Oryctolagus cuniculus: one gene and its partners. The protein of the gene in region 5 interacts with the protein of the main gene of each other region in a biochemical or structural test. Links are inferred from orthologs where the notes say so. Each region holds a gene or a part of one and is shown on either strand. Other genes may lie near its edges.

What was found.
Region 1: the proteins of UBC (region 5) and DNAJB2 form a complex in vitro, tested with the Homo sapiens proteins (2 studies listed by BioGRID). The link is inferred for Oryctolagus cuniculus from reciprocal best matches to the Homo sapiens genes UBC and DNAJB2.
Region 2: the proteins of UBC (region 5) and ZNF451 form a complex in vitro, tested with the Homo sapiens proteins (2 studies listed by BioGRID). The link is inferred for Oryctolagus cuniculus from reciprocal best matches to the Homo sapiens genes UBC and ZNF451.
Region 3: of the proteins of UBC (region 5) and TRIM21, one has a biochemical effect on the other in vitro, tested with the Homo sapiens proteins (2 studies listed by BioGRID). The link is inferred for Oryctolagus cuniculus from reciprocal best matches to the Homo sapiens genes UBC and TRIM21.
Region 4: the proteins of UBC (region 5) and ITSN2 form a complex in vitro, tested with the Homo sapiens proteins (2 studies listed by BioGRID). The link is inferred for Oryctolagus cuniculus from reciprocal best matches to the Homo sapiens genes UBC and ITSN2.
Region 6: the proteins of UBC (region 5) and HERC4 form a complex in vitro, tested with the Homo sapiens proteins (2 studies listed by BioGRID, with this or other methods). The link is inferred for Oryctolagus cuniculus from reciprocal best matches to the Homo sapiens genes UBC and HERC4.
Region 7: the proteins of UBC (region 5) and PIK3C2B form a complex in vitro, tested with the Homo sapiens proteins (2 studies listed by BioGRID). The link is inferred for Oryctolagus cuniculus from reciprocal best matches to the Homo sapiens genes UBC and PIK3C2B.

The regions. Positions count from the first base shown.
Region 1 is NC_091434.1:20,213,874-20,218,611, forward strand, and holds the start of DNAJB2 (dnaJ homolog subfamily B member 2), read right to left. Parts: upstream 3,037-4,738; 5' UTR 2,845-3,036; intron 2,487-2,844; coding exon of another isoform or gene 2,484-2,486; exon of another isoform or gene 1,846-2,483; intron 1-1,845. Other genes in the region: TUBA4A (tubulin alpha-4A chain), read left to right, coding at 2,484-2,486, 4,163-4,385, 4,678-4,738. UniProt on the Homo sapiens protein: Functions as a co-chaperone, regulating the substrate binding and activating the ATPase activity of chaperones of the HSP70/heat shock protein 70 family. In parallel, also contributes to the ubiquitin-dependent proteasomal degradation of misfolded proteins.
Region 2 is NC_091436.1:112,490,482-112,495,198, reverse strand, and holds the start of ZNF451 (E3 SUMO-protein ligase ZNF451), read left to right. Parts: upstream 1-1,506; coding exon 1,507-1,527; intron 1,528-2,011; coding exon 2,012-2,095; intron 2,096-4,717. UniProt on the Homo sapiens protein: E3 SUMO-protein ligase; has a preference for SUMO2 and SUMO3 and facilitates UBE2I/UBC9-mediated sumoylation of target proteins. Plays a role in protein SUMO2 modification in response to stress caused by DNA damage and by proteasome inhibitors (in vitro).
Region 3 is NC_091432.1:62,646,682-62,650,485, reverse strand, and holds the end of TRIM21 (E3 ubiquitin-protein ligase TRIM21), read right to left. Parts: intron 2,586-3,804; coding exon 2,485-2,585; intron 2,181-2,484; coding exon 1,633-2,180; 3' UTR 825-1,632; downstream 1-824. UniProt on the Homo sapiens protein: E3 ubiquitin-protein ligase whose activity is dependent on E2 enzymes, UBE2D1, UBE2D2, UBE2E1 and UBE2E2.
Region 4 is NC_091433.1:178,394,471-178,398,556, forward strand, and holds part of ITSN2 (intersectin-2), read left to right. Parts: intron 1-377; coding exon 378-499; intron 500-1,397; coding exon 1,398-1,480; intron 1,481-4,086.
Region 5 is NC_091452.1:5,126,933-5,131,016, forward strand, and holds the start of UBC (polyubiquitin-C), read left to right. Parts: upstream 1-1,284; 5' UTR 1,285-1,649; intron 1,650-2,103; exon of another isoform or gene 2,104-2,272; intron 2,273-2,418; 5' UTR 2,419-2,421; coding exon 2,422-4,084.
Region 6 is NC_091446.1:59,920,864-59,924,949, reverse strand, and holds part of HERC4 (probable E3 ubiquitin-protein ligase HERC4), read left to right. Parts: intron 1-3,244; coding exon 3,245-3,321; intron 3,322-3,579; coding exon 3,580-3,704; intron 3,705-4,086. UniProt on the Homo sapiens protein: Probable E3 ubiquitin-protein ligase involved in either protein trafficking or in the distribution of cellular structures. Required for spermatozoon maturation and fertility, and for the removal of the cytoplasmic droplet of the spermatozoon.
Region 7 is NC_091444.1:19,878,468-19,882,553, reverse strand, and holds part of PIK3C2B (phosphatidylinositol 4-phosphate 3-kinase C2 domain-containing subunit beta), read left to right. Parts: intron 1-2,920; coding exon 2,921-3,090; intron 3,091-3,167; exon of another isoform or gene 3,168-3,336; intron 3,337-3,773; coding exon 3,774-3,930; intron 3,931-4,086. UniProt on the Homo sapiens protein: Phosphorylates PtdIns and PtdIns4P with a preference for PtdIns. Does not phosphorylate PtdIns(4,5)P2. May be involved in EGF and PDGF signaling cascades.

The DNA of each region.
Region 1 (4,738 bases), on a different chromosome or scaffold from region 5:
TGGAACGGTATATGACTGTGCAAAAAAAGAGTTAACACAGCAGGCCTGAGACTGCTGACCACAGGAAGGCCTGCTGGCAAGGTTGGCTCTTGGCCGGAGTCTGAGGATTTGGTTCTCGGTTAACAGCTGATAAGAATGGTTTATTTTGCCTAGACTGTGTAAACAAGATGGTTCATGTCCAACACCTGCTTTTCTTCTAGGAGGCTAAGCCTTGGCTATGCGCTAGGCAGGGGTGCCTATGTGATAATCCCCTGCAGAAACCCTATTGAGTCTCAGATGGGCTTCCTGATGCAGACATGTCCTTGAAGGATATGTTGCTGCGAATTGATTCTGAAGGAACCGTGCCGAGCCCTCGTGGGAGGCAGAGGGCACGGGCTCCTTCAGATGTTACGTGGGGCGACCCAGCTGTGTGTCCCTACTGCACCGCCGTGACAAGCCTTAGCTCTGAGCGCAACTATGTGCTGGGCCCTGGGAGTCCTTCTAGCCAGTGTCCTAACGTGGCGGGGGTGGTCTGAGGGGTGCTCTTATACAGGGACATCCCCAACTTTTTCATGTCCTACATGCTATGAAGGTTAACACCACCAAGGCCAAACATGGCACATCTAAGAGTGAGTTTGACCTCCAGGCTGCCAATCAGCAACTTCACTAGAACTACAGGAAGTGGAACAATTCCTGACACACACCTAGCAGCTGTGTACCCTGTGTGCCCAGCACCATGCCACGAACTAGAGACACAAAGACGAAAAGGCTCAGGCCTTTAACAGCCTGCCCTCTAGCAACACAGCCATGTACCCAGCACGATGTGAAGAAGTGCTCCAAGAACCCAGCCAGCTACTTACACGGTGCACCACATCACAGAATCCCCAGGGCCCCACACCCAAAGTTGTTGGGCCAGTTCTACAGTGAAGGTCGAAGAAGAGGTAAGGGTTTTGCCCAAGATAGCTCAGGTCTCTGGCTGTATTCATTCTGCTGCGGTGAGGGGTGGGGTGCAAGGACAAGAGGGCGAGGGAAGATCTGCTAGCGGCCACGTGTCCTGTAATCACCAAGGCTTCCTCCTCCATGAAGGCCGCCATGGTCTCCCCAAACAGCCTCACTGGAGGCCCTTGTCAGTGCTGTTTTTATGAATGAATCATGTTCTCCCAACCAGATGGCAAGTCTGCTGGGAAGAGAGCCCTTATCATATTTCAGTATATTTCTTTCTATGCCTTTCCCCAGTCAAATGCCAATTAGCTACTTTGTTGGTAGAAAGTTGCCATGGCTGGTGGCTGTATGGAATGGTGCTGTGCTGTCAGCCCACCCTGCTGGCCACAGGGAAACCAGAGGGGCCGAGAGGCAGGTGAGACTTTTCCAGGTGATGGCTAGCCTGGGAGACAGGTTTCTTAAAAGGCTTGCCAGCCAGCCTGCTGGGTGTCCCCAGTGGAAGCAGACGGCTGGAAAGTGCTGGGCAACTTGGGGAAGACAAAAGTAGCCCGACTTGCAAGAAATGGAAATGAAATGTAGGAAGCAGCTGAGGGCGGCTCGCAGGAGAGAAGGGGAAAGGTCCCATCAGCCATGATACCCGAATCTCCACTTTCTTTCTCAACACTTTGTTAACTCACAACACTGCTTCTAGGCTTGGAGCCTCCTCCTTTTTTGTTGGTGAAAATGCCAAGAACCCAGCCTCAGCGAGAAGGAAGTCACTTGACCAAGGTCACACGGGGCAGTCCGGATGCGAATCCAGGTCCTGAGGGTCCCAGGGGCAGCGCGCAGGTGGCGGGGCGAGGGCTCACTAATAGTGACGCCGCCGATGACGGCCCCCTGCCCGCCGGGTTGGCGAGCCACGGCAGATTCCCAGCGTCGGACCTCGCAGGCAGACTGCGGGGCTCGACTCTGCGGGAGAGTCCACAGGATCGACACCCTGGGGCTCAGGCTGTGCAGCTCCCGGCCCCCGGCCGCCCACAGGTGGGGGCGGAGGCCTGCCGTCCCGGCCGGGGACCGGCAGGCGGCGTGTAGCTGGCAGGGGCTCCCCAGCGGCGGCCGGCCAGAGCCTCCAGGGAGGGAGAGCGGGGAGAGCCCCGGCGAAGGCCAGCTGCAGCCACCTCGGAAGATCGCTCTCAACCGCAGTCGGCCTAAATCAGAACACCTGGACGTCCGGCGCCCCCATGACGCAGGTGCAGGCGAGGCGCGCCCGGCCACCGCACCCTGTGCGCCAGCCGCGGATCTGTGGAGCCCGGAGTGCCGGCCCAAAGCGGGGAACGAAGGGTTAAAGCCCGAGTCGCTGCTGGTCGCCGGGGCCCGACAGGTGAGGGACCCCGGAGCGGCAGGGGGAGGGGCCCCGGCCTGGATCTTGGGGGCGTGGCTACAGGGCCGCCCCGCCCCTGGCGGGGAGCGGCGCGCGCAGCCCCGCCCCCGGAGTATAAGAGCGGTGCGGCACTGCAGCTAGCGCAGTTCTCACCGAGACCCGTCACCCCGACTCTACGTGAGACGCACCGCCCGGACTCACCATGGTGAGTGCGGCCCCGCCGGCCTCGTGCCCTGTCCCCGAATTGCCCCTGTCCTTTGGGGGACCCTCCCTCCAGGGATGCTCCGGGCCCTCCACCTGACCCTGCGGGTCTGCAGGGGGTGCGAGGGTTCCGCACCCTGCCCCAACCCCCCTCCCGGTGACTTTGGCGGAACTATGGTGGCCACCTTCGCGGGGTGGGGGCTGGAATCTTCGCTAGCAAAGAGAAGCCCTCCGGACCACCCCCTCCTGCCTCACCAAGCGTTTGTGCCCCAACCCTCCCAGCGGAGTCACGCGGTCCCGCGCCCAGTCCTCTCCGTGGGCGACGACCCGCTTGGCTGCCCGCCCCCGGCCCTGGGACTGACCGGACATGTGCTTGGCGCCAGATGGTGGAGAGGGGCCAGGGTCCTTGGTGCCGCATCCCCGTTTCCTCAGGCTGTTTGAGCATCCCTCCTGCCCACAGCCGCTCCCCCCACCCCGGCCCGTGACTCAGCACCCCACTTCTGGCCGGGAGGGATGGCGGGAATGGGGTTCGGCCTCGTGAGGTGAGCCGGCCCCTCTGCAGCCTGAGCGCGGGTGCGCGGACGGACGGGCAGAGACAGCTGGCGCCGAGCGACGGCGCGGGCCCGGGCCAGGTTGGGGGGATGGGAAAGAGGTGTGTGTAGGGGGAGGTATTTATAGCCCAGGAGCGGGGGCAGAAACCTTATCCCTACTTTCGGCTGGGATTTAACTGGAAAGACTCCGGCGGGAGAGCGGATGTAGGGCCGGGTGCAGCGTGGCGCTCACCCTGCCCGGGGCAAGGCGGGTTACCTCTGGGGGCCCCCGGAAGGTTCCGCTTCCTTTTCTGGGTATTTGGAAACCGTCACCCTGGCATTTCGTTGGGGGAAGGGAGGCGCGCGGGTCCTGCGGACTTTGGTGCCCCGGGGGTTAATCTGCCACTGGCAGGGACGGAGCCTAAGGCTGCAGCAGCTCCCCCGTGCCCCTACCCTTTAGCCCGCTCCTGCGGAGGGCTGGCGCTTACCAGCGTTATGGCTGCTATTTCCGTGGGGGCTGAAGGTGGTGAAGCCAGCCAGAGGGCGGGGGTGGAGGTGGGGAGAGCAGCCAGATGCGACGGATCCCCAGAGCCGGATGGGCTTTAAAGGTAGGGGGAGCAGGCCACCTGGTGACCAGTGTGGTTGGTTTGATGCCAGCCGGGAAGCCTGCGGGGAGAAAGGGCTACGTGGATTTCTCTGTGTTCACCCTCAAGAGAATTGCGGTGGGGGAGGGGGTGCTCTAGTTATGAACAAGAGGCTGTACCCCTCCCCAGGCTCTGGGGGAGCTGTTTGTGGGCAGCAGGGAATGAGGGCAGCTGAAGAGCCTTGCCCGTGGTCATTACTGCAGCGTCTGCCAGAGTCGCGCACGTGCCCTCTCTGTCCTCCCCGAGTGTCCTGTGCGTGCAGCAGGATCACGAGGAACCATAGCTCTCACTTGACAAACTCCCCACCGAGAGGCAGACGAAGGGATTTGCCTGCCCTCCTGGTGCCTGCAGCTGGGGAGTCCTGTGCAGAGGAGCCTGCCCTAGCCAGCCCCAAGCCTCCACTGCAAGACTCATCCGAGCTGAAGGCGATAGCGTGTTGGGGGGAAGCCCATGAGGTGAGAGGTTGTGGCTGCGGGCTCATGCTGTCCCCTCTCTTTATCCTTCAGCGTGAATGCATCTCCGTCCATGTAGGGCAGGCAGGTGTCCAGATGGGCAATGCCTGCTGGGAGCTCTACTGTCTGGAACATGGGATTCAGCCCGATGGGCAGATGCCCAGCGACAAGACCATTGGTGGAGGGGATGACTCCTTTACCACTTTCTTCTGTGAAACTGGTGCTGGAAAACACGTGCCCCGGGCAGTGTTTGTGGACCTGGAGCCCACCGTCATTGGTGAGAGGAAGAGGGGGCAGTGTGGAGCCGGGTGGGCAGGGACTCAAAGCTGGTCTGGAGTGTGTCTAGACCTGGCTCTCCTGGCTCTGTAAATTCCTCTCCCTGTTTGAAGCTGAGAAAGACAAGCTGATCTTGGGCTGGCCGAGGCAGCAGGTCTGGGCTTCTCGCACACTCTGGTATCTCAGGCTGGCAGAAGAATGAGCTCTTCCTGTGCATCTGGCCACAGCTACCACCCAGGGGAAGGAAGGTCCTTGTGGTTTGTGCCCTAACAATGTGGCTCATGCCCTTCCAGATGAGATCCGCAATGGCCCGTACCGCCAGCTTTTCCACCCAGAGCAGCTCATCACCGGAAA
Region 2 (4,717 bases), on a different chromosome or scaffold from region 5:
TCCGTTGGTTCACTTCCCAGTGGCCACAATGGCTGGAGCTGCGCTGATCGCCGATCCAAAGCAGGAACCAGGTGCTTCTTCCCAGTCTCCCACGCCGTGGCAGGGAGCTCTAGGGCCATCTTCTACTGCTTTCCCAGGCCACAGCAGAGAGCTGGATAGAAGAGGAGCAGCCGGGACTAGAACCCTGCGCTCATATGGGATGCCTGCGCCGCAGGTGGAGGATTAACCTGCACCATAGCGCCGGCCCCAAGTTTTTCCTATACATTTAAAAGCTTTAGAAATATTTATTTTACATAGACAGCATTTGAGAAATTCACTTCCTGGGTCTCATTCTCAGTTGTCCTCTATAAGTGTAACAGCAATGATGTCATAAAGCACTTTGGGGATATGCAGGAAATAATTTTAAGCAGTAATTACCGAAATAGGCCAGTTAGATGGTAGTCTTGCATACCTGACAGACAAAAGCAGACATCTAAGATTCAAAAGAATTTTCTCACTTTAAATTCTTTTCAAACACGTTATTGACAACTGTTGGTGTGTGTAATAGTCCTTTTGTTGGGAAGGCATTTTTGGAGAAAAAATTAAAACACATAGTTGAATGTCGGTGATCTGTTTTATAGACTGCTACGTGTATGAACACTGAGAAAGATCGACTACTTTATTTAGTGGGATGTATTTGAGAATGCCTTGAGAAAGTATAATCGGTCTAGGGCTTGGTGTTAAGGTTAGCCAGGCCTCAGCTCCCTTTCTTCGGATCCTGGACTTTTACGAAGGCGCTCCCGTCCGCCCCTCTCGATCTTTTTCCTCGGGTGTACTGTAATACTTGTTGAGCCTGGGGCAGTGAAGCTGGGTTAGATGTAGGTCACCTCAGGGCACTCCAGATTCTTTCCTAGGTCTTAAGAATTTCACTAAAGGAACACATACTCCACCTGCTTAAAAAGAAAACATAAATTAGTTCCCACCATCCACCTTTAGTGGTAAGACGGAGAAAATTAGCGAGATGTCCTTTTACAACCACACCTAAACCAACTCAACACACTCCCCACCTTCCGTGAGCTTCTCTTCCCGGCAGGGCTGGGCCGGCCACACAACGGCTTCGCCCACCAGAGGCCAATGTCGGCCCTGAACGCATGCGCTCTACCTCGGAGGCGTCTGCCCCTCTTTTACATCCATGGGGGGTGGGGGGCGCGTTTTCGGGTCTGGCAGGAACTACAATTCCCAGCATCCTGGGCGGCGAAAGGAAGGAACCCCGGGAGTGCGCGAAAGCGGCTCGCGGGGCTAGCGGGCCAGCGAGGGAGCTCCTCCTCCTTCCAAGCGGGTCTGCGTCTCTTGCAGCCTGCGGCGTCAGCCGCGTCGGCGCTCACGCAGGGGCGGGTGACGGCGGCGCGGGGCAGTGCAGGGCGGGAAGGGACGTCGTGGCGGCGGCGGCGGCCGAGGCAGGGCCAGCAGCTTAGGCGGCTGCGGCAGGGACAGCAGGCGCGGTGGTGCTGTCAGGCCGGCGGAGAAATGGGAGACCCAGGGTCTGAGGTGAGTAGGGCAGCCTTGGGCTTTGGCGTCCTGAGAGCCGAACCGCGAAAGGTTTCCTGTGTTCTCCGGGGGGAGGCCTGTGCTCGCCCAGGCCTGTGGGGCGACGTCTCTTAACCCTCGGACCGAGCCCGGAGTTGGGCCTGCGCATGTATGATGAGCAAGGAACCGGCGGGAACAATGGCCGCCCCCCGATGCCCTCCCATGGTCGCGGGGTCCTGCAGCCTCGGCTCTGCCGCTGGGAGCGACGTTTTAGGAGAGGACTGCCCGTGGGTAGTGAGCTTGTGTCGCCCCTTGTTTTGTAACTGTGGGGATTCTGAGCGGCTCCTAAGCACCAGGACTCCGTCCAGGTCTGATGGTAGTCGGGTTTGCTGAAATCGTGGGCTGTTTTCCCCGAGAGCTTTTTGTCTTCATCGTGCTTTCTGGAAAAGTCTCTCCCTTCAAGCGCGTGGCTGCATGTTAAGCATGTTTTGGCTTATTTTTATAGATAATAGAATCTGTCCCTCCAGCTGGGCCTGAAGCATCAGAGGCAACAACGGATGAAAATGAAGACGACATTCAGTTTGTTAGTGTAAGTAGCACCTCATAATCGGGGATTTCCCCATTGTGAAGGGCCATGGTAGGGCATTCCGGGGTGACACTTCGCCAGGTCATTCAGCTTTCAACAAATACTTAGGAAAGTGTGACGCTCACTGGACACGGTGGAGCATGGCATGAACTCGGGGAATTTCCCCCAAAGTAGTATCTGAGCAACCCCGGTGGCCATCACAAAGAGTGAGGCCTAAAGAAGAGATGGTGCACCTGGTTACTCCTCCCATGCCCTCATATAGAGCCATTTATACTCCGCCATGACACAATTCTGATCTCAGACTGGCAGTTTTAAAATGGGCAGAACTGTTTTACAAGATGACACACAGGGGTAGGGGTGGCTGCCGGTAAGGAAGGAGACAGGAAACAAAAAGGGTTGCCAGAACTCAGAATCTGGCATTATGTAGCTTCAGACTTGAGGCAAGTCGTTGGAAGGTTTCACCACCCTCTGAGCTCGTCAGGTTACAGCACAGTGCAACAGTTGAGGCTCATAATGGAGAGTCCTGCATCACCAGGAACAAACTGTGTTGTTCTGAATTTATCCCCATTGGGACAGTATGTTAGCAGTAGTAGTGTAAGCAGGCAGATTGTGGACTCTCCTCCAGACCTACTAAATCAGAATTTCCTCTGGGGTAGGGATGGGGGCAGTAGGAATCTTTGTTTTGGAACAAATGCAGCACCTATGGACCTCTGAACACACTTTGTGAAGTATTCCTTTTGGAAGAAAGCCATATGTTGTTTTTTAGGATGGTTTACATTCATAACTTAAAAAGTTTTATAATGTTTGTCCTTAAAGTGATAGCTTAATTATCCAGAGAGTATTTCTCCTCCAAACTCTGCTTTTGGAGTGCTGTAGTTAGTTGCAGTTTGGTATACAACATTCGGCCATTGGGTGACTGTTGTATGGTATTTTAGTGGGTTTTTGTGAACGGAATCAGTCACAATATTTTTTTCCTTGGATGTTCCCCTTTTTTTCAAACCATAATTGTATTCTGTTCTCATCTTGAACTTGTAAGGATTTGATGTGAGAGTGAGAATGACTTGCGTCTTTCCCCTTTGTCGCTGTGGAATAAGTTTGATGACAGAGTTCCATGGCTCTTTAAGACAGTATTTTAGGCCGGCGCCACGGCTCACTAGGCTAATCCTCCGCCTTGCAGCGCTGGCACACCGGGTTCTAGTCCTGGTCGGGGCGCCGGATTCTGTCCCGATTGCTCCTCTTCCAGGCCAGCTCTCTGCTGTGGCCAGGGAGTGCAGTGGAGGATGGCCCAAATGCTTGGGCCCTGCACCCCATGGGAGACCAGGAGAAGCACCTGGCTCCTGCCATCGGATCAGCGCGGTACGCCGGCCGCGGCGGCCTTTGGAGGGTGAACCAATGGCAAAGGAAGACCTTTCTCTGTCTCTCTCTCACTGTCCACTCTGCCTGTCAAAAAAAAAAAAAAGTCTTAAAATTAAAAAAAAAAAATTTGAGGCAGAGAAAGGAGGAGAAAGAAATCTCCCATCTACTAGTTCACTCCCCAGGTGCCTGCAACTACAAACAAGCTGAAACCAGGAGCCCTGAAGTCAGTCTGAGTATCCCACATTGGTGGCAGGGACCCAACTACTTGAATTTTCAACTAGAATCTCTCAGGTACCTGTTAGCAGGTAGTTAGAATCAGAAGTAGAGCTGGGACTCATACTGAGGTGCTACCAATATGGGATTGAGCATCCCAAGTTGGCGTAATTGTTCACTGTGCTACCGTGGGTATAAAAGCTGCTGAGGGACCCTATCATCTTTATAACAGTGCAGGAGTTTCAGTTTTGCACCAAGATTATTGGTACAATGTGAAATCACTGGAAACATGGGTGTAAGCAAGGAAATTAAAATGTTTTAATAAGTAAGTTCAAGAGCATGTAGGTTAAGTATTAATACTTGAGCTATAGGGGTAGGCATTTTGCACAGTGGTTAAGACAGCACTTGGGACACCCAAACACTGACTTTTCTGCTTTAGATCCTACTTTCTGTTGATACACACAAACTCTGGAGGCAGCAGATGATGGCTTATGTCATTGGGTCCCTGCCACCCATGTGGAAGACCAAGATTGAGTTACGGATTCCTGATTTTGGCCTAGTCCAGTGGACATTTGGGGAGAGAACTAGCAGATGAAAAATCTTTCTCTCTCTACATTTCAAAAAATAGGAAAAATAAATTTAAAAATAAAAATAGAAACCAAAACTTTAACTGCAGAAGGGAGTCATGTAAAAAATAAGTACCTTTTGGGCAAAATTCAATAAGTAAAAGTATTGAGCCAGGAGTTAAGTATCTTAGAGCTATACAGGTTAGTTGGAAGTATATATACCTTAAGTATCAGTAGTTTAGTTTAAGGTATGAGCTAGGAGATGAAAACTATGTAAAGAGTTCTAATAGAAAGTAGTAAAAGATTTTTTTATAGAAACTACGTAATGCCTTCTTTTGTACAACACTAGTAGTTTATCACTTTCACACAGGAAGTAGTTACTTGTATTTGTTTAAAAGGACACTTTGAAGAAAAAAGAACATGTATCAAAATGGGAAAACAATTATACATTCTGGATAAGATTTTTTAAATAGGGAAAGATGTATCAACA
Region 3 (3,804 bases), on a different chromosome or scaffold from region 5:
CCTTTGTTTAAATTTCTTTTCCACACCTCTCTCCAACAACAAAACCTTCAAGCCCTGGGACTGGGGGCAGGATTCAGAGAGGAGGTGGTGTGGTTGCACAGAAAGGATATGGAACCCTCCCCTTCCCCTTACCTTGGCTGATTTCATCCTCTATGGTAGAAGCTTCTGGAAGATAAACTGAGCCCTTTTTTCCCAGTTCTCATAACCTGAGCTGCTGACTTGGAACACAGGTGGACACAGACACATCCCACCCTGCTCAAACTTCCATTCTCATAACTGAGGATATGGTCTCACTCACTGCAGACAAGTCCCTTCTGCTATTCCTTAGTGGAGGCCATATGTGTTCCCCTGGAAAAGCCAGAAAAACTTGCCCAAGAAAGGGGGAATTTCAGAGAGGAATGATAGCAAACTTGGATGTCCCAGGAGGAGTAGAAGTGTTCCATTTTCCAGGAAGAACGCTGAGAGCTGAGGGCACCCGAGCCTTCACCCTCTATCAGTGACATTCACTGGTCAACCAAGAACATGGACAGAAGCATCTCAGGTCTTTCAGAGATACAGAGAACAGTACCAGCTCTGAGAGCACTTTGTTTCAAACCCAGGAGTTCCCTCTATGTGAAGGGCACCTGCCCTCGGGCAGTGACTGCAATCTCAAAATGCCTTCTATTATCACAGTGGCCACTTGGAGATCAAGAGAGGAAACTCTTACTGGTATCTTCTGCCCAAGACCAAATAATCCAGATGCAGAAGTAGGGAGGGCAGCCCAGGCAGGAAAAAATGTGCAACATTAGATATCTAAGCATACTTTAAAGTTTGTAAAAAAAAAATGGAGTTAAGATACATTTATTTTGGTGCAAAAATTGAAATCCATGCATACTTTTCATATGTATTTTCCATGAACATTTTGAAGGAATGTTGTATATCACTATTAATCAGAGTTGTCAAATATTTCAGGTTTAAGGAACAAGGGCAGAATACAACACAACTGTTTTTAGGAAGCTATTTTACAAACCACCCACAGTATAACAGAGCTCTGACCTAAGATAATAACCTGAAGATGGAGAGGCTAAAACAGGATTTTTTTTTAAAGGTTTATTTACTTGAAAGAGAGTGAGCAAGCTTCTATTTGCTGGTTCACTACCTAAATGGCCGCAATAACTAGAGCTGGGTCAGGCCGAAGCCAGGAGATTTGTCTGGGTCTCCCACATGGGTGCAGGGGCCCAAGGACTTGGCCCTCTTCCACTGCTTCCCCGGACACATTAGCTGGGAGCTGGACTGGAAGTGGAGAAACCAGGATTTGAACTGTGGCTTAACCTTCTATGCTACAGTGCTGTCCCCTAGGACAGAACTTCAGCGACATAAAGGAGGTGGAAACTGGTTCAGGTGAGTTTGGGCTAAATCTGCAGTTTGCTTCACTGGAGGGAATCGGCAATTTAAAGCAGAAATACCCACTTGATATTGGCTTTCAGTGACCTCCCACCCCTGCTAACAACTGCTTCCTGGGATCCCAACACCTCTGCAGAGGCAAAAGTGTCTCAAGCGTTCATGGGCAAAAGAGGCAGGGGCTGCTGCTGGGAGGGGCCCCAATGGGACGAGGGTGTCCATGAAGAGCCCTCAGTAATTGGCGAGTCCAGACTATGCCATCTTCAGTGGACAGAGAGTGAGAGGAGCTCCATTTTTTCCATCATCATTGAAACCAGGACTGAAGAAGGGCCGCAGAGGTCCAGCAAAGTCACAGTCAGAGAAGGTGTAGATCAGGGACCCATGGTCAGTGACATTGTAGAAGGAAACAGTGCTGGCCTCATAGTCCAGGAAGATCCCAACTTGGTATGGAGGTACCCGAAGGTGGAGGGGGGTTGGGGAACAGGTGCCAGCCTCATATTGTTTTACTTTCCACAGCCAAATTGTCCAGAAGCCTCTCTCAGTGTTGAGCACAAAATTCCCCTTCCTCTGCACCGAGGCTCTGCAGACTCCCAGGTCCCAGGCCCTCTTTCCCCTCACACTGACTTCCCAGTAATGCTTTCCAGAGTTGAAGTGCTGGGCACCGAGGACCATTGGATAATTATCAAATCTCTCTTCATTTTTTGGCACATCCTGCCAGGTGTTTGCAAGCCTCACTTGTCTCAGGTCCTCTGAGATGATGAGCTGTGGATTGGCCGTTTGTGGATCCAGAGTGATGTGTACTGCAGAGAGAGCACCACGGTCAGGCCTGGGGTGTGGGAAGTCCTCAGCCTGTGCCTGTAGCAAGGGGATCTGTGTCAATTCCAGGAGGAGGACGAGCGGCCGACCTCCTCAGGTGAGGAACTGACTTCCAGCGAGCCCTGGCCTTGCCCTGGCCTTTGAAGGGATTACCTTCTCTACTCCTATCTCTCCCCCACCTGCCATCTCTCCTCCATACTGCTGTCCATCCTCCCCCATCCTGGGTCTACTCCACACTTTCATCATTCCCATCTGCCCCACACCCACAACTCCCAGAGCTCGCCTCACCGCCACACGTCCTCAGCATCTTCTTCAGCCCCGGCACATGGCACACACTCCTCAGGTCTGGTGAGATGACTTTCAGCTCCTCCAGGCTCCAGGACTCACTCCTGGGGAAAGAGTTTCAGACTCGTCTTCCACTCCTATTACCTACCCGCTCCCCCACCCCAACCATAACACTATGACTTCCTTGGGGATTGTGATAGTTAAGTACAAAACTTATAATTGCCTCTGGGAAGTAGGAATGAGAGGCAAAAATTTCCAGGATTTATCCAGAAATTCCTAGTTATGAAAGTCTTTGCAGCATGTGTCTTCTCTCATGCTTACTTGGTGACCTTGGGCTCCATCTTATCTTACAGGCAAGGTGTCTGATACAGGCTGAATCACATCTATGAGAAGCCTCAAGGAGTCTGGCCATGCTGTAGGTCTGTCTTACAGCTCTTTCGAGGTAGTTTATAACTGGTGTAACTGCTTCTAAAAAAGCAGACCCAGCAGGCTAGAGAAATTCCTAGCCTTTCCCCAGTTGTTGGGGATTTGCTCTGTGAAGATATTATAGCCCAAATCCTCTGGGAAACTTGGCAACTGAGCTATCCATTTGTTAGCCTTCTGAAACCAGAAAGTGCTTAATAGAGGATCTCCTTGAGAACAGGGAGGCAAGCACGGGAAAGTCCAGGGCATGTTTTTCTACCTTTGCCACCCTCTCAGAGGCATATATGATCATATTGCCCCCTCTTTTATTTATTTTATTTTTTAACTTTTATTTAATGAATATAAATTTCCAAAGTACAGCTTATGGATTACAATGGCTTCCCCCCCATAATGTCCCTCCCACCCGCAACCCTCCCCTTTCCCACTCCCTCTCCCCTTCCATTCACATCAAGATTCATTTTCGATTCTCTTTATATACAGAAGATCAGTTTAGCATACATTAAGTGAAGATTTCAACAGTTTGCTTCCACACAGAAACATAAAGTGAAAAATACTGTTTGAGTGCTAGTTATAGCATTAAATCTCAATGTACAGCACACTGAGGACAAAGATCCTACATGAGGAGTAAGTGCACAGTGACTCCTGTTGTTGACTTAACAAATTGACACTCTTGTTTATGGCCTCAGTAATCACCCTAGGCTCTTGTCATGAGCTGCCAAGGCTATGGAAGCCCCCTGAGTTCACTGACTCTGATAATTTTTAGACAAGGCCATGGTCAAAGTGGAAGTTCTCTCCTCCCTTCAGAGAAAGGTACCTCCTTCTTTGATGGCCCATTCTTTCCACTGGGATCTCACTTGCGGAGATCTTTCATTTAGGTTTTTTTTTTTTTTTCCCCAGAGT
Region 4 (4,086 bases), on a different chromosome or scaffold from region 5:
GGCTCCCTTCACGCATCGCCAGGTGGCTGGGGCTCCCTGTGCCGCTTGCCAGGGCCGCTGCTGGCGACAGCCAGAGCCCAGCCTTCCCTCTGGCTTCCTCCTGGCGAAATGAGCCCCGGGCCTGCCTCTGTCCACACTCAGCTTCGGCGCTCGCCGCAAACCGAGCCTGAGCCAGCGCACGCAGCTGGTGTGCAGAGGAGGGAGCAGCCACGGCTGCTCGGGCTCCTGTCGCCAGCTCAGCATGCCCAAGCCACCCCAGACTTCTACTTTGACACGGTGGAGGCCGGCCAGCGCCCCTGTTCCGCTTCTCCTCTGAACACAGGCGGGTCGAGTGTCGGGCCCGACTCACAGCCTGTGTTTGGCCCTCATTTTTTCAGCCCATTTTCCTGAACGAAGTCTTGGTGAAACTGCCCACAGACCCTTCCAGCGATGAGCCTGTCTTCCACATTTCCCACATTGATCGGGTCTACACGCTCCGAACAGACAACATTAACGAGAGGTCAGTCCTGACCGTGTGTGACCTGAGACCAAGGAGAGAGCCCACCCCCACCGCACCCAGGGGCCCTCTGTCCACACGTGCCCCCGCTCCGGCCACGGCAGCCTTGGCCAGGCCCGCGCCGAGTCGGGGCTGCCGCCTCCTAGCACGTTTCCGCCTCGGGTCTGCTCAGCCGCTCCGGGACGGCGGACCCCGTGCCTCAGTCCCTGCTGGCAGCTGGGTGCTGCTCACGGGCCACGTCCTCTGCTTCGATGGCCTCCTGGAGCTGCTCCTTGCTCCTCCTCCCACCCACATGCCCCTGTGGGGGGCCCCTTCCCCACTCTCCTCGCCTGCAACCTCTGCCCTCTGCCCTCTTCCCTACGCCCTCAGCCGTGCTTCCCCCAAGGCGGGATGGCAAACCTGGGGGATGCAGGTCCCCTGAGCACACAGCTCTCCGTGGACAGACTCCCCACTTCCCGGGCAGCCGTGTCACACCTGCGGGGATGGCACCTCCGGCCCCAGGCACAGTCTGCCGTGTGCAGGCCACCAAGAACTGGCCTCAGACCCTCTCGGCGCCAGCCTCTGTTGAATTAACACATTAGGTCTGTGACTGGAAATTGCCAAAGCTGAGGTTGGCAAAAGAGGGGGGGCACCAGAGCTGTGGGCTCGTCCACGGCCGGCGCGCTGCCGGGAAGCCCCCAATGGCTGCTCTGCCCCCCCCCCCACGGCCAGCACGTTGCCGGGAAGCCCCCAATGGCTGCTTCCCCCCCCAACGGCCGGCGCGCTGCCGGGAAGCCCCCAGTGGCTGCTCTGCCCCCCCCCACAGCCGGCACGCGGCCAGGAAGCCCCCAGTGGCTGCCCCCCCCCCACGGCCGGCACGCTGCCGGGAAGCCCCCAATGGCTGCTCTCCCCTCCCCCCCAGGACTGCTTGGGTGCAGAAGATCAAGGCGGCATCGGAGCAGTACATCGACACGGAGAAGAAGAAGCGCGAGAAGGCTTACCAAGGTACCTGCAGGGCCCTGGGGGCTTAGCACCGGGGGGCAGGGAGTCTGGCCCTGGGGACACAGGCTGCTGTCCCTGCTGTAAGACTGGGGCCATGGGGACAGCCTGGAAGAGCAGGCCCGCTGCAGGATGGCCAGTGGGGCCCTGGCCGTTGCCTGCCCGCTCCTCCCGAAGCTGCCATCACAGACCTCACTGAGGCTCAGCTGCCACGCCCACTAGGCAGCCTGGGCAGGCTCGGGCCTCCTGGTCCCCACAGCAAAGTCTCAGTCCCTCTTCCTCACCAGTCTTCACTCCCACCACAGCTGTCTCTGCAGGCTCCACTTCACGCCCTCTAACTCCCCTTCCCTTTCCCACTCTGCCCCCGCCCTCCCAGCCTGCCCCGCCTCCGCCCGCTCCCTCCCCAGGACGCCTGCCTGGCCCTGAGCCTCCCCTCCTCCTTCATCCCAAGTCCTGTCCCCACGGCCACCGGCCGCGGAAGTGGCCTGACCAGTGGCTTGCCGCCCGTGCCCGCTCCCTGTGTTGGGCATCCAGTCTCCTCTTCCCTCTGGACCCCTTCAGGCCCTGAGGTCCTCGCGCCCGCAGACCTTCCCTCCTCGTCTCCCTTCCTCTTTCTCCTCCCCTGGAGAGGAGTCCTGCCTCACCCAGTGCTTTTTGCTACCTCGCTCCGGCAGCTCCCTTCCTTGGGGAGCCGCCCATGTCACCCTGGGTTCAGACACCCCTGGCTGACCACAGCTGCGCGTGCCCTGTGGGATCCAATGGCCTCCATCCATGGTCGCTCCTCCTCGTCCTCCCAAGAATCCCCACTCGGCCGCCTGGACAGCACCTGCCCTCCTGCCCCTCACCCACTCTGCTGTGGAGCCCTGCGCTTCCCCCTCCACCTGCCCGGCCCCTTCCTCTCCGCACTGCAGCTCCCTGTCCCCAGCACCACCGTCCTCACTCCTAGAGGGCGCCTCTCCCTGCTTAGCTGTCTCCCCTGTGGCCTCCCAGATGGAGGACAGGTTTCTGGCCCCAGCCTCAGAGCACGGCCCCACTGCTGCCCACACCTAGCCCATGTCACTGCCACTGAACCACTCCCATCACTGTCAGGCCCACCTGGGCGTGCTGCCTCCCAGACACACATGCCCCACCCCACCAGAACCCTTCCAGGCCCAAGAAAACACTGCCTCCTCCATGACACCTTCCTTGACCCCAACCCATGTGATGTCCCTGGAGGCCCTGCCGTGAGTCTGCCGTCCTGCTCTGGTCTTGAGGCCTCTGTTGCTTCTGCTCACGCGCCCCAAGTCACCTCCCCTGAAGGCAGCTCCACACTTGCAGGGCCTGTGGCTTGTGCCCAGTGGCTCTGTGTGTGTTGCATCCATGTGTCCGCCCCGATCACGGGACAGGTGGTCCACCTGCTCGGTGTGGCTACAGTGGTGTTTGTAAGAGTCCCCGTGCCCTGCCATGATCCTGGCCAGGACGTCGCAGCTCCCACGTTCTTCCCCGGCCTCCCCTGGGTGCCGAGTCCCCGCCTCTCTGCCCCCTCTGCAGCTGCGCCACACCTGTCCCACCCCCGCCCGTCTGCCGTCTCCCTCCGAGCAGCTCAGGCTCCTGGGTGCTCTAGCCGCAGCTCTCTGTTTTCTCCATTCAGGTTTCCCTTATTTTGTTGTATGCTCCTGACAGGTATGTGTACATCAGCTTTGCTAACTGAATGTCACCTCAAAAGCTTGCTATTGAGAAATCGATGACTGAATCATTTGTGCCCCACATGCTGATCTCTTAATTGGGCAAAGATGTAAATCAGGGTTTCTGCGCGTTTTGCCCACCCTGGTGGGTGCGTGTGTGTGTGTGTTGCTGTGTGTTCAGTCCTGGAGACGCTCGCGCCTCTGCACTGGGAAGCCCCGCCCTGGCCTCAGGGCAGCTGAGTGCTGTTCAGGTTCACGGTGGGAGGGGCACAGGTGAGGGGCGGCTGCTTCTCAGAGGGAAAGTTGTATTGGCCTGGAGTTTGAAAAACCAGTAGCTCACCGAAGCATCTGCCTTGTTTCTAAAGCCTTAACCTGCTTAATTAAACCCATGTTTACCCAAAGAATACAGCTCATCTCCGTGTTGGAGGAGTTCAGGTGCCTCCTTAAGTAGAACAAGGCCATAAGTAAAGCTGCCTGGTACGCGGGAATGGTCATGCGTAATCGGGATTACCAGTGCTTTAGACTCTGGTGTCTGGCGTCTGGATGCTCGTCCTGCCTTTTAGAAGCTCTGAACTGAGCACTTTCTAAGCCTCAGTTTTTCTCATCTGTAAAACGGGGAGCTACCGTGTAAGGTAACCAGGAGTCTAACCAGCTATGATGTAAAGTCTAGCACGTGCCTAACCCAGAGTATCCAAGAAGTGTTCACTGGTGTCAAGTGCTTAACTAATGTGCCTTACTATTGTATTACTGTCACTATTTGCCTGGCACTTGAGGGGTCCTGCGAGGAGGAGCAGGAGGGGGAGGAGGGAAGTCGTGCACGTGCTGCAGTGGCTCCCCTCTGGCGGAGGACACGGGCATCACGGGACTTCAGGCCCTGGGGGTCATGGGATGCTCCCACGTCAGCGACAATGAGTGTGCAGTCCTAAGGGCTCTGGGAGTGCCTGTGAA
Region 5 (4,084 bases):
GATGCGAACTTCAGAAAAACAAAACAAGAACGAAAACACCTGGCCATCACAGGAATCCGTGCTGGCCATCACCAGGGTCTCCCGCTAGCTTGGGTTCCTGCTCTGCATTTTAACCCCCCGGGCCCGGGCATTCCTTGTTTGGGGGTTTAAGGGGTGGAAAAGTCCTCTAACAATGCTCAGGTAGATCTTCCCAGATCCACACAGCCGCAGGTTACCACAGCAACCACACAGCGGTTGTTCTGCCGGGGCTTCTCGGTGACATGACACTTGTAAAACGGTCTTCCCCTCTAAGGAGGGGCTGTGGTCCCGCCTCCGCCCCATCGTGGCAATGGAACATTCTAGAAGAGTCGCACAGCACAGCGTGGGGAGGGGGGGACTCGGGGCACGAGGGGGCAAATCCACCGCTAACGTTTAAGAGCCTCCAGCTCACCTGCTGGTCGACGCCACGATTCTCCCAAACACCAGGACACGACCCCGTGGCTGACCGTGCCCCTCCCCCTTGTGATCACAACGCGAGGTGCGCGTTTCATGCATCGGATCCCGGAAACACAGAGCGCAGCTTCGGTTCGCGTCCGTAAAAAGGCCCAGGTTAAAGCCCGGGCCGCACCAGGCGCCTCCGGCGGCGGCTTCCGGGGAGAGCCTGGGCGGCCGCGACCAGCCGCAACCAGCCAGCGCTGTCGGGGTCCGCCGTGGCTCCCCGCGGGTCTGCGCGCCGGCGGCCCGGGGCCGGGGCCGGGGCCGCGGAGGCGAGGGCAGGATGTGTCCAATCACCGGCCCGGCCCCCCACGAGACCACGGCGGTCACCTCAAACGCGACCCCACAGAAAGCCCCCTCGAGGTCACGGGCCGGGGGGACAGAGCGGGCCGCGCGCGGGGAGGCCCGGATGTGCCCAGTCACGGCCCGGCCCCCACGAGACCACGGCGGTCACCTCAGACGCGACCCCACAGAAAGCCCCCTAGAGGTCACGGGCCGTGGACACAGTGGGCCGCGGAGGCGAGGCCCGGATGTGCCCAGTCACGGCCCGGCCCCGACGAGACCACCGCGGTCACCTCAGACGCGACCCCACAGAAAGCCCCTCGAGGTCGCGGGCCGGGGACAGAGCGGGCCGCGCGCGGGGAGGGGGCGCCGGGCCGGAACCCCCGCGGGCCGCCCACCGACGGGCCGCTGCGGCCGAGGGGACGGGGCGCGGGGCGGAGCCGAAGCCCCCGGCCGCCCGCCCGCTCCGGGCGCCGCCCGGCTCCGCGCCGGGTCTTCCCGCCGCCCGCGCGCCGGCTCCCCTCCCCCAGGGCGGGCGCCCGCACGTCGGCCGCAGCACGCAGCAAACGCCCTGATCCCTCCGCCGGGCCCCTCAGGGCGGCGGCCCCTCCCCTCCCGGGCCCGGCGGTACCGCCCCGGGCTCGACCCGAGAACGTTTTGTGAGGGGGCCGACGGCCCCGGGCGCAGGGTTCCTTCCCGGAGGGCGGAAGAGGCTGAGGAAAGTAGTTCCTTCTCGGCGTTTCTGCGGAGGGATCTCGCCGGGGCGGCGGCTCGCCGTCGGACTATATAAGCGGGCGCCGGGCGCGGCGCAGCCAGTTCCGTCGGAGCCGGAGTTCGGTCGCCTTCATCCTGCGTACAGCTGCCGCCGCCGCCGCCGCCGCCGCCGCCGCCTGGTGAGTGGACCTCGTCGTGCTGGCCGGGGTGGGGGCGGCCCGCGGCCTCTCGGCCGTGAGGGAGGAGGGCGGTGCGGCTGCCCGCCGCGGGCGGGACGCCCTCCCGGGCGGGTAGTCGGCTGGGGTCGCCCCGCAGGCGGAAGAACCGACAAGATGGCGGCGCCGCCGAGCCGGGAGGTCAGGGTGCAGGGCGGACAGGGGCCGGAGAGCGCCGAGCGCCGCGAGGGTCTGAGGAGCGGAAGGCGGCGTCGCCGGGCCGCGTTTGGAGACGTGGGGGAGCGGTGTGGCGGGGCTGACGGGCAGCGCTGGGCCCCGGTTAGGGGCTGGGGAGTAGGGAGGCGCCTCGGCGCGGGGCTGCTCCAGCGGGTGGGGGGCGGCTCGCGCCGTGACGTCACCCGCGTGTTGGCACACAGAGCAGGGCGGGGCTGCCTCCCGGTGTGGGTGGCGTCGGTTTCTGTCAGTTGCAAGACACACGGTTAGGGCCTAGGCGAGATCCTGCTGAGTGGACGGGAACGCGAGCCGGAAGGGGGGAGGGACGGAAAAGCCCTGAGTTCACTGGTCACGTTTCCCTGCTTTCTTCATAACGAAGGGTCTGAGGCTGGGGTTTTGAAGTAATTTTTCAGGTTTGTGTTTGGTGTCCTTTGGAGTTCCTAAGCAAGTTATTAATTTTAATAGTGTAGATAAATAGACGATATTCAGTCTTTAGGAATATTAGTGAATTGTTTGCTGAATTTTTTTTTGTTTCTTTTTGTGTGTTTTCTCATAACAGACAATGCAGATCTTCGTGAAAACCTTAACTGGCAAGACCATCACCCTCGAGGTGGAGCCCAGTGACACCATCGAGAATGTCAAGGCAAAGATCCAGGACAAGGAGGGCATCCCCCCTGACCAGCAGAGGCTGATCTTTGCCGGCAAGCAGCTGGAAGACGGCCGCACCCTGTCCGACTACAACATCCAGAAGGAGTCCACCCTGCACCTGGTGCTGCGCCTCAGAGGTGGCATGCAGATCTTCGTGAAGACCCTGACCGGCAAGACCATCACCCTCGAGGTGGAGCCCAGTGACACCATCGAGAACGTCAAGGCGAAGATCCAGGACAAGGAGGGCATCCCCCCCGACCAGCAGAGGCTGATCTTTGCCGGCAAGCAGCTGGAAGACGGCCGCACCCTGTCCGACTACAACATCCAGAAGGAGTCCACCCTGCACCTGGTGCTGCGCCTCAGAGGTGGCATGCAGATCTTCGTGAAGACCCTGACCGGCAAGACCATCACCCTCGAGGTGGAGCCCAGTGACACCATCGAGAACGTCAAGGCGAAGATCCAGGACAAGGAGGGCATCCCCCCCGACCAGCAGAGGCTGATCTTTGCCGGCAAGCAGCTGGAAGACGGCCGCACCCTGTCCGACTACAACATCCAGAAGGAGTCCACCCTGCACCTGGTGCTGCGCCTCAGAGGTGGCATGCAGATCTTCGTGAAGACCCTGACCGGCAAGACCATCACCCTCGAGGTGGAGCCCAGTGACACCATCGAGAACGTCAAGGCGAAGATCCAGGACAAGGAGGGCATCCCCCCCGACCAGCAGAGGCTGATCTTTGCCGGCAAGCAGCTGGAAGACGGCCGCACCCTGTCCGACTACAACATCCAGAAGGAGTCCACCCTGCACCTGGTGCTGCGCCTCAGAGGTGGCATGCAGATCTTCGTGAAGACCCTGACCGGCAAGACCATCACCCTCGAGGTGGAGCCCAGTGACACCATCGAGAACGTCAAGGCGAAGATCCAGGACAAGGAGGGCATCCCCCCCGACCAGCAGAGGCTGATCTTTGCCGGCAAGCAGCTGGAAGATGGCCGCACCCTGTCCGACTACAACATCCAGAAGGAGTCCACCCTGCACCTGGTGCTGCGCCTCAGAGGTGGCATGCAGATCTTCGTGAAGACCCTGACCGGCAAGACCATCACCCTCGAGGTGGAGCCCAGTGACACCATCGAGAACGTCAAGGCGAAGATCCAGGACAAGGAGGGCATCCCCCCCGACCAGCAGAGGCTGATCTTTGCCGGCAAGCAGCTGGAAGACGGCCGCACCCTGTCCGACTACAACATCCAGAAGGAGTCCACCCTGCACCTGGTGCTGCGCCTCAGAGGTGGCATGCAGATCTTCGTGAAGACCCTGACCGGCAAGACCATCACCCTCGAGGTGGAGCCCAGTGACACCATCGAGAACGTCAAGGCGAAGATCCAGGACAAGGAGGGCATCCCCCCCGACCAGCAGAGGCTGATCTTTGCCGGCAAGCAGCTGGAAGATGGCCGCACCCTGTCCGACTACAACATCCAGAAGGAGTCCACCCTGCACCTGGTGCTGCGCCTCAGAGGTGGCATGCAGATCTTCGTGAAGACCCTGACCGGCAAGACCATCACCCTCGAGGTGGAGCCCAGTGACACCA
Region 6 (4,086 bases), on a different chromosome or scaffold from region 5:
TGTTGAGAAGGAATTTTAGGACACTTTCGGTGTTGAGAGAGAGTCCCAAAATTGTTTAGAGTATGTGTGATAGGTGGGAAAAGTATTAAACAAAGCATTACCAATCTGTAGAGATGACGGAAGAATTACTCAATGTGTGAAAATTTGAGGGACAAAAAGATTAGTTTAGACCCTATCCTTCTACTGTCCATTAAATTATAGTTTGGATTAAATGGTAAAAAATTTTAAGAAAATGATTCTTTGGGGGCCGGCACTCTGGTATAGTAGCTTAAGCAGCCACCTGTGACTTTGGTATCCCATATGGCACTGTTTCGAGTCCTAGCTGCTCCACTTCTGATCCAGCGCTCTGCCTGGGAAAGCAGTACAAGATGGCCAAAGTCTGTGGACCCCAGCAGCCATTTGGGAGACCTAGAAGAAGCTGCTGGCTCTGGATTGACTCAGCTCCATCCATTGCGGCCATATGGGGAGTTAACCAGCAAATGGAAGATCTTTTCTGTCTTTCCCTCTCTCTCTAACTATGCTTCTCGAGTAAATGAAGAAATTTTTAAAACAAACAAACGAAGAAACTGATTCTTTTATTTCAGGATTGGGAAAACCTTTCCATCCTCAATACAATGAGTCGTGATAAAATTGGATTAAAAATGTTTTTGAGACAAAATTAAGCAATAATTATTTGAGAAAATATTTTTGATAATTACAACTTAATGTCCAATGTGCATATACATATGGATGAGCAAACAGTGACATCTAATAGATAAATAAGACAAACATTAAGCTACCTGATAAGGGGCCAGTGCCGTGGCACAGTGGGTTAATGCCCTGGCCTGAAGTGCTAGCATCCCATATGGACGCCGATTCGAAACTCGGCTGCTCCACTTCCTATCCAGCTCTCTGCTATGGCCTGGGATAGCAGTAGAAGATGGCCCTGGCTGGCTCCGTGGCTCACTTGGCCAATCCTCCACCTGTGGCATCGGCACCCCGGGTTCTAGTCCTGACTGGGGCGCTGGGTACTAGTCCTGGTTGCTCCTCTTCCAGTCCAGCTCTCTGCTGTGGCCCAGAAAGGCAGTGAAGGATGGCCCAAGTGCTTGGGTCTCTGCACCCGCATGGGAGACCGGGAGGAAGTACCCAGCTTCTGGCTTCGGATCGGCGCAGCGCCAGCTGTGGCAGCCATTAGGGTCAACCAACGGAAGGAAGACCTTTCTCTCTGTCTCTCTCTCACTGTCTATAACTCTCTGTCTCTCTCTCTCACTGTCTAACTCTGCCTGGCAAAACATTAAAAAAAAAAAAAGAAAAAAGAAAAAAAGAAGATGGCCCAAGTCCTTGGCCGCTGCACCCACATAGGAGACCCAGAAGAAGCTCCTGGCTCCTGGTTTCAGATCAGCGCAGTTCCAGCTGTTGCAGCCAATTAGGGAGTGAACCATCTGATGGAAGAGCTCGCGCTCTCTCTCTCTCTCTCTCTCTCTCTCCCTGCCTCTCCTCTCTCTGTGTAACTTTCAAGTAAAATCAATAAATCTTTTAAAAAAAAAAAGTTACCTGATAAATAAAGGAGATAAATGGAAATTTCCCCAAGAGGAAATTGATGATGCTAAGAAATATGCAAAAATTACTACCCTCTTCAGTATCAAAGAAATGCAGATTTAAAAAGCAAGAGGATAGTAAATAAATGCAAAAGATAAGGCTTAATCCTCAATTTCCTGTTTTAAGATAAGTATATAGTAGTAAAGGAGGAGCTAATGTCCACCTCTAAGGTAAAGAAGCAGTGCTCGCATATCATCATTTTCAAATTATAGTTCATTAATTTTCTAGATGTTTAATATCAGTGCTTTCTAGCATCCACAAAGAAACTCAGCAAGCCATATGTTTCAAGATGGAAGAACAACACCTACCCCTTGACCCCATATCCCAGTGTAGCAGTTCTTAAATAACCTGTGATTGGTGCCTGTCTAGATCTACCTACCAGTTTATGAAACATACATGAGACCAAGCAGAATGCTAAGAGAAACCACAGAGGTACATTCAGCAAAGTCCAGTCTGCAGGAAGTTTGTGCAGAACAAGTGATTACATTTTTCAAACTTTTGGAGTCACAATCAAAAGGAAAGGAAAGCTAACTTCTGGTGTCTGATTCACAGCTCCTGGAAACCCATTCATGTATTATAGATTAGTCATCCATTTTCTAGAAGTTACTTATAAAATGCAGAATCACATTTTAGGAATAAATAAATAACATCCATTTTGAGGAAATGAACAGTTTCATGTAGACTTTTCTAAATGATGGTAGAGAAAAGATTTTAAATAAATTGCTGGTTTATTTAACATAGATTTATCCTTTAATCTGTTCTTTTTTAAAAAAAGATTTATTTATTCATTTGAAAGAGTTACACAGATAGAGGAGAGGCGGACAGAGAGGGAGGGAGGGAAGGAGAGGTCTTCCATCCGCTGGTTCACTCCCCAGTTGACTGCAATGGCTGGAACTGCGCTGATCCGAAGCCAGGAGCTTCCTCTGGGTCTCCCATGCAGGTGCAGGGGCACAAGGACTTGGGCCATCTTCCACTGCTTTCACAGGTCACAGCAGAGAGCTGGATTGGAAGTGGAGCAGCCAGGTCTCGAACCAGTGCCCATATGGGATGCTGGCACTTCAGGCCAGGGCATTAACTCACTGCACCACAGCGCCGGCCCCATCTGTTTTTATGTTATTTTGGCTCTAAAGCATTCTTGGGACCTGTCGAAAACTTGATTTTATTAATGTTCTGAGCTCTAAGCTAGATATGTTATGTAGTCATATTGACAAACAGTTACTGAGGGTTTTTTTTTTTAAATAAATAAAGCATTTTGCTTGTTAGTAGGAAATAATCAATTTGTAGTCTTTTTGATTTACAATTGTGAAGGAGCCATGATCACAGATAACACAAGGTGAGTCTTGGCTACTATGCTCCCAACCCAGCTCCCTGCTAATGTATCTGGGAAGACAGGCAAAGTACTTGGGCCCCTGCCACCTATGTGGAGATCTGGAAGGAGTTCTAGGCTCCTGACTTTGGTCTGGCCCAGCCTAGCCCTGACCATTGCAGCCATTTGGAAAGTAAACCAGCAGGTAGCAGAGCACTCTCTCCGTTTCTCCCCCTTTCTCCGTAACTCTGCCTTTCAAATAATAAATCTTAAAAAAAAAAAAAATCAGTAGCACATTTGCTGATCTGAGCAATGTGATACAAGTCTTGGATTCTAATGTTTATATTTTGTTTTTTACAGATTCTGAAGAATATTTCTGTGTAAAAAGAATTTTCTCAGGTGGAGATCAAAGCTTTTCACATTACTGTAGTCCTCAGGTAATAATACAGTTATGTAAATACTTAAACAATTTTGAGGAATTTTAAAAATCTGTATTAATGTTCTTTATATGTTATATAGTGATAGGCCTGACTTTTATACCTCATCTGTACAGAATATTTTTCTGATCTATTTGATAAGTTTTTATTTCCCATATTTAGTGGAGGTTTATTTTTTTTTCAAACACAAATGGAGAGTGTTTTGGTTTTGAATTATAGATAATATTTTTCCTCTAACTTCCTTATTTTATAATTTAGAACTGTGGGCCACCAGATGACTTTAGATGTCCTGATCCTTCAAAACAGATATGGACAGTGAATGAAGCTCTAATTCAAAAATGGCTGAGCTATCCCTCTGGAAGGTTTCCTGTGGAGATAGCCAAGTAAGAGAAACATTCCTTCCACACAAACACTGCCTCTCAAACCTGCGGTAGAGCAACCTTTACAGAGTTTACATTTAAATATTTGTTTGATGGAATATCATTCAGTCCATTATTTAAGTATATAAATATAAATGTATAATTCCATAATAACATTTTAAGAGATCTTACTTGAAATTGGGTAAGTCACAGTTGCAGTTCTTTTCTAGATGTAAAGATAAGTTAAATGATTAATTAGGACATGAAATAAAGCCATTTTAGGATTCAGTTTGAATTTTGTTCCCTGTGAACCTTATGATGGTCACTGTCTTAACCTTATATTCCCCACAAGACTTTGAATGTTAATTCTTTCATGAATATTATGCTTATAGATTACTTTGTCTAG
Region 7 (4,086 bases), on a different chromosome or scaffold from region 5:
GCCCCTCCGCTGTTCCTTCTAAGGTGCTTTTCCAGCAGCGCGGTGGTTAAGCCACCTCTGGGAGCGCACTCCCCATTGGAGTGTCTGGGATTGAGTCCTGCCTCTGCTTCCAATCCAGCCTCCTGCTAAGGAGCCTGGGAGGCGGCACTTGGGTCCGTGGGTGCAGTTCCTGGCTCTTGGCTTCAGCCTGGCCCAGGCCAGCTCTGCATTTCAAATCAATGGAATAAAAACACCCCCCTTAATGAGGTACTGTGCTAGGTGCTAGAATTATGATTAGTCCTTGCCGATGTAATAGAATCATAATAAAAGTGATGGGCATAGGTGTCTGGCCTAGGGGCTAAGATACTTTCAATATATAACATATATATGTTATAATATAATATAATATAATATTATATAATGTGTACTATATAATATGACATAGTATAACATCTGACATACGTTATAATATAACGTATCAGAGTTCAATGCCTGGGTTCAATGCCTGGCTCCTGGTTCCAGCTTCCTGCTAAGGCAGACCCTGGGAGGCAGCAGGGATGGCTCAAATAATTGAGTTCCTGCCACCCATGTGGGAGACCTATTTGAGTTCCTAGCTCCTGGCCTCAGCTCAGCTGAGACCACTGCAGTTCTTTGGGGAGTGAACCAGTAGGTGAGAGCCAGTGCTTCCTCTCTCTCTCTCTCTCTCTCTCTCTCTCTAATAAATAGAAAAAAAAAATGTTAGTGAAGTGATGGAAGTGTGTGCAGGGAGAACGCGCAGAGGGAGGCTGACTCCAGCAGAGGCTTCCTCTCAGTCGTTCCCAGAGAGCTGCTGGCTCCTGCAGCCTCCCTGCCCGCAGGGTGCGGCACTTTCTTACCAGGACTCCGGGAAGAAAGGGAGAGAAGGATTTTGCTCTGGGCCACCTACCCTGCATCCCAGCAGTGAGATCCCTGGAGTGGAGAGATGCCCACCCTCCTCTTTGATGCCTGAGCCTTCTCAGCAGGAGGCTTTGAAGGGAGTGTTCTTTAAATCAAAACAGAACAAAACAGAAGGTGTGTAGATCATCAGGGAGCCTGGAGTGGAGCCAAGACTCAAACCCGGGTACGCGGATACTCAGAGCAGGTGTCCTAAGCGGGGTCTTATTCCATGCACCCAACAGCAGCTCCTCAGAGAGAATTAAGAAGGTGAAAGATGTGCCTCTGCTGACTCCGTGTGTTCTCACGTCCTGGGGCAGATGTCAGCCAGACTAAAGACTCCGAATGCGAAATCTCCCTAGCACGCTGTGGCTGTGGCGGCTGGGGTGTCAGATGTGCAGATGTCAGCACCGCCTCAGCTCTTCCTGAGGTGCAGAGACTTTAATTAGATCGACACCTAGCTGTGACCAACAGCCCCGGATGGCGGAACTGAGCAGGGTGGGGAAGGGACCCGGCACGCGCCTGCCTCTGGGCAGGTGTCCCGGTGACTTCCTGTCTGTGAAGGTCTCCCCAGTGCGGACAGGGCAGCTCTGGGCTCTTCAAGCAGCCCGTGGTCTCCCCAGCCAACCTCCCTGGCAGAGGGAGAGCCGCGGGCAAAGGCAGCATTCCCCAGGAGTGGTGGGGCTGCTCATACAACCTCCCATCTTCTACTCCGGGAGACAGGGGAGATTTTTTTTTTATTTTAGATTTATTTATTTGAAAGGCAGAGTTACAGAGAGAAAAGGAGAGAGAGATCTTTCATCTGCTGGTTTGTTCCCCAAATGGCTGCAACAGCCAGGGCTGGGCCCAGGCCCATTAGCAGGGAGCGGGATTGGAAGTGGAGCAGCTGGGACTTGAACCAGCTCCCATATGGCATGCCAGGCTCACAGGCTGTGGCATTACCTGCTACTCCATAGCGCCGGCCCCAGCGAGACAGTTTTATAAGGGTCTTTCAAAATGTTTGTGGAAAAGGGAGTTAAGGATACATTCAGGCCAGCGCCGTGGCTCAATAGGCTAATCCTCCGCCTGCGGCGCCGGCACACCGGGTTCTAGTCCCGGTCGGGGCGCCGGATTCTGTCCCGGTTGCCCCTCTTCCAGGCCAGCTCTCTGCTGTGGCCAGGGAGTGCAGTGGAGGATGGCCCAAGTGCTTGGGCCCTGCACCCCATGGGAGACCAGGAGAAGCACCTGGCCCCTGGCTTCGGATCAGCGCAGTGCGCTGGCCGCATTGCACTGGCCGCAGCGGCCATTGGAGGGTGAACCAACGGTAAAGGAAGACCTTTCTTTCTGTCTCTCTCTCTCACTGTCCACTCTGCCTGTCAAAAGGAAAAAAAAAAGGATACATTCAGGGTGGACCTGGTAGTTAGGACGCCTGTTTAAAGGTCTGCGTCCCGTATCAGAGTGGTTGAGTTTGATCCCCAACTCCAGCTCCTGGCTCCAGCTTCCTGCTAATGCAGACCCTGGAGGCAGCGCTGATGGCTCCAGTGGTCGGGTTCCTGGCTCCTGGCTTCCTTCCAGCCCAGCTCCAGCCATCACAGTCATCTGAGGAGTGACCCAGCAGGTGGAAGATCTCTCTCTCTCTCCCTCTCCTTCCTTCTGTCTCTCTGTCACTCTGCCTTTCAAGTAAATAGATAACTAAATCCTTTTTATTGTATTTTTTTAAAAGTTTATATTGGTACAAAAATATTTAAAATCCCCGTGAAAATTTTTAATGAACTTTTGGAAGACCCGTTCCAATGCATGGATTTCAAAAATATTCTCACCATAAGAAGCTCACTCTGCTCCTTCCACTTTCCACGAGCTGCTCAGGGAATGCTCACGTGCACACGCACGCTTATCCGTAGTGTGTGGTAAAGGATGACCAGGCAGATGTGAGGTGGTGCTGGGCCTGGCCGAGAGGGGCTGGGCCTGGCCGAGAGGGGCTGGCTGTGGCTCCCACAATCCCTCCACGCAGGCTTAAGTGTCCGTGCCGGTCCGCCCTCACTCCTCCCAGGCCGTGGAGAACTTCATCTACTCCTGTGCCGGCTGCTGCGTGGCCACCTACGTCCTGGGCATCTGTGACCGACACAACGACAACATCATGCTGAAGACCACGGGCCACATGTTCCACATCGACTTCGGCCGCTTCCTGGGCCACGCCCAGATGTTCGGCAACATCAAGCGGTAAGCGGCGTGGAGGTCCGCAGAGGCAGGCGAGCGCTGGGACACAAGCCGGGGCTGGGCTTCGGAGCGTGGTCCCTGGGCCGAGGTGGGGACAGTGGGGCCAGCTGCTGCCCTCCTCGCTGGGGTCTGAGCAGGGAAGTGAGCCCCAGCTGCAGCAACAGGGACCTGCTGAGCTCTCCAGAACAGTGGTTGCAGGCTCTCCGGTGAGCAGCCAGCGCTGGATGCGGGATGTCCGTCTCCTGGGACCTGTTAGGATTCAAGGTGGCAGAGCAAAGAAGAGGAAAAGGTCATGTGGGCCCCGGTTCGAGTCCCAGCTGCTCCACTTCCTATCCAGCTCCCTGCTAATGCACCTGCAAGGGCAGAGGAAGATGGGCCCTCACACCCACGTGGGGGACCCAGGAGAAGCTCCTGGCTCCCAGCTTTGGCCTGGCCCAGCAGGCTGTTACAGCCATTTGGGGAGTGAACCAGCGGATGGAAGATCTCTCCCTCTCTGTAGCTCTTTCAGATAAATAAATAGATAGATAAATAAAAAAAAAAAAAAAAAAAAGAGGAGGAGGAGGTCAGAGAGCGCCCGTCTGTCCAGCGCCACGCGGGTGACGGAAGGGAGGACGCGCCCTGCCGCAGCCACAGCTGGGCCTGGTCCTCCACGCTGACCTTTGACCTCTGTGTTCCCCTTGGCCCAGGGACCGTGCCCCCTTTGTCTTCACCTCGGACATGGCGTATGTCATCAACGGGGGTGACAAGCCTTCCAGCCGCTTCCACGATTTTGTGGATCTTTGCTGCCAAGCCTACAACCTCATCCGCAAGCACACCCACCTCTTCCTCAACCTGCTGGGCCTGGTGAGGAGCCCCGCCCCTCTCGCCTCAGCCCCTGGCGCCCCCGTGCCCTGCTCCAGACGACTTCTGGGGGCCCCCTTGCGGTGGAACACCTGCCGCCCCAGAAGAAGGCAGGGACCCTGCCTGCCTGGGGACAGTGGCGTCCACATAGGTGTCTGA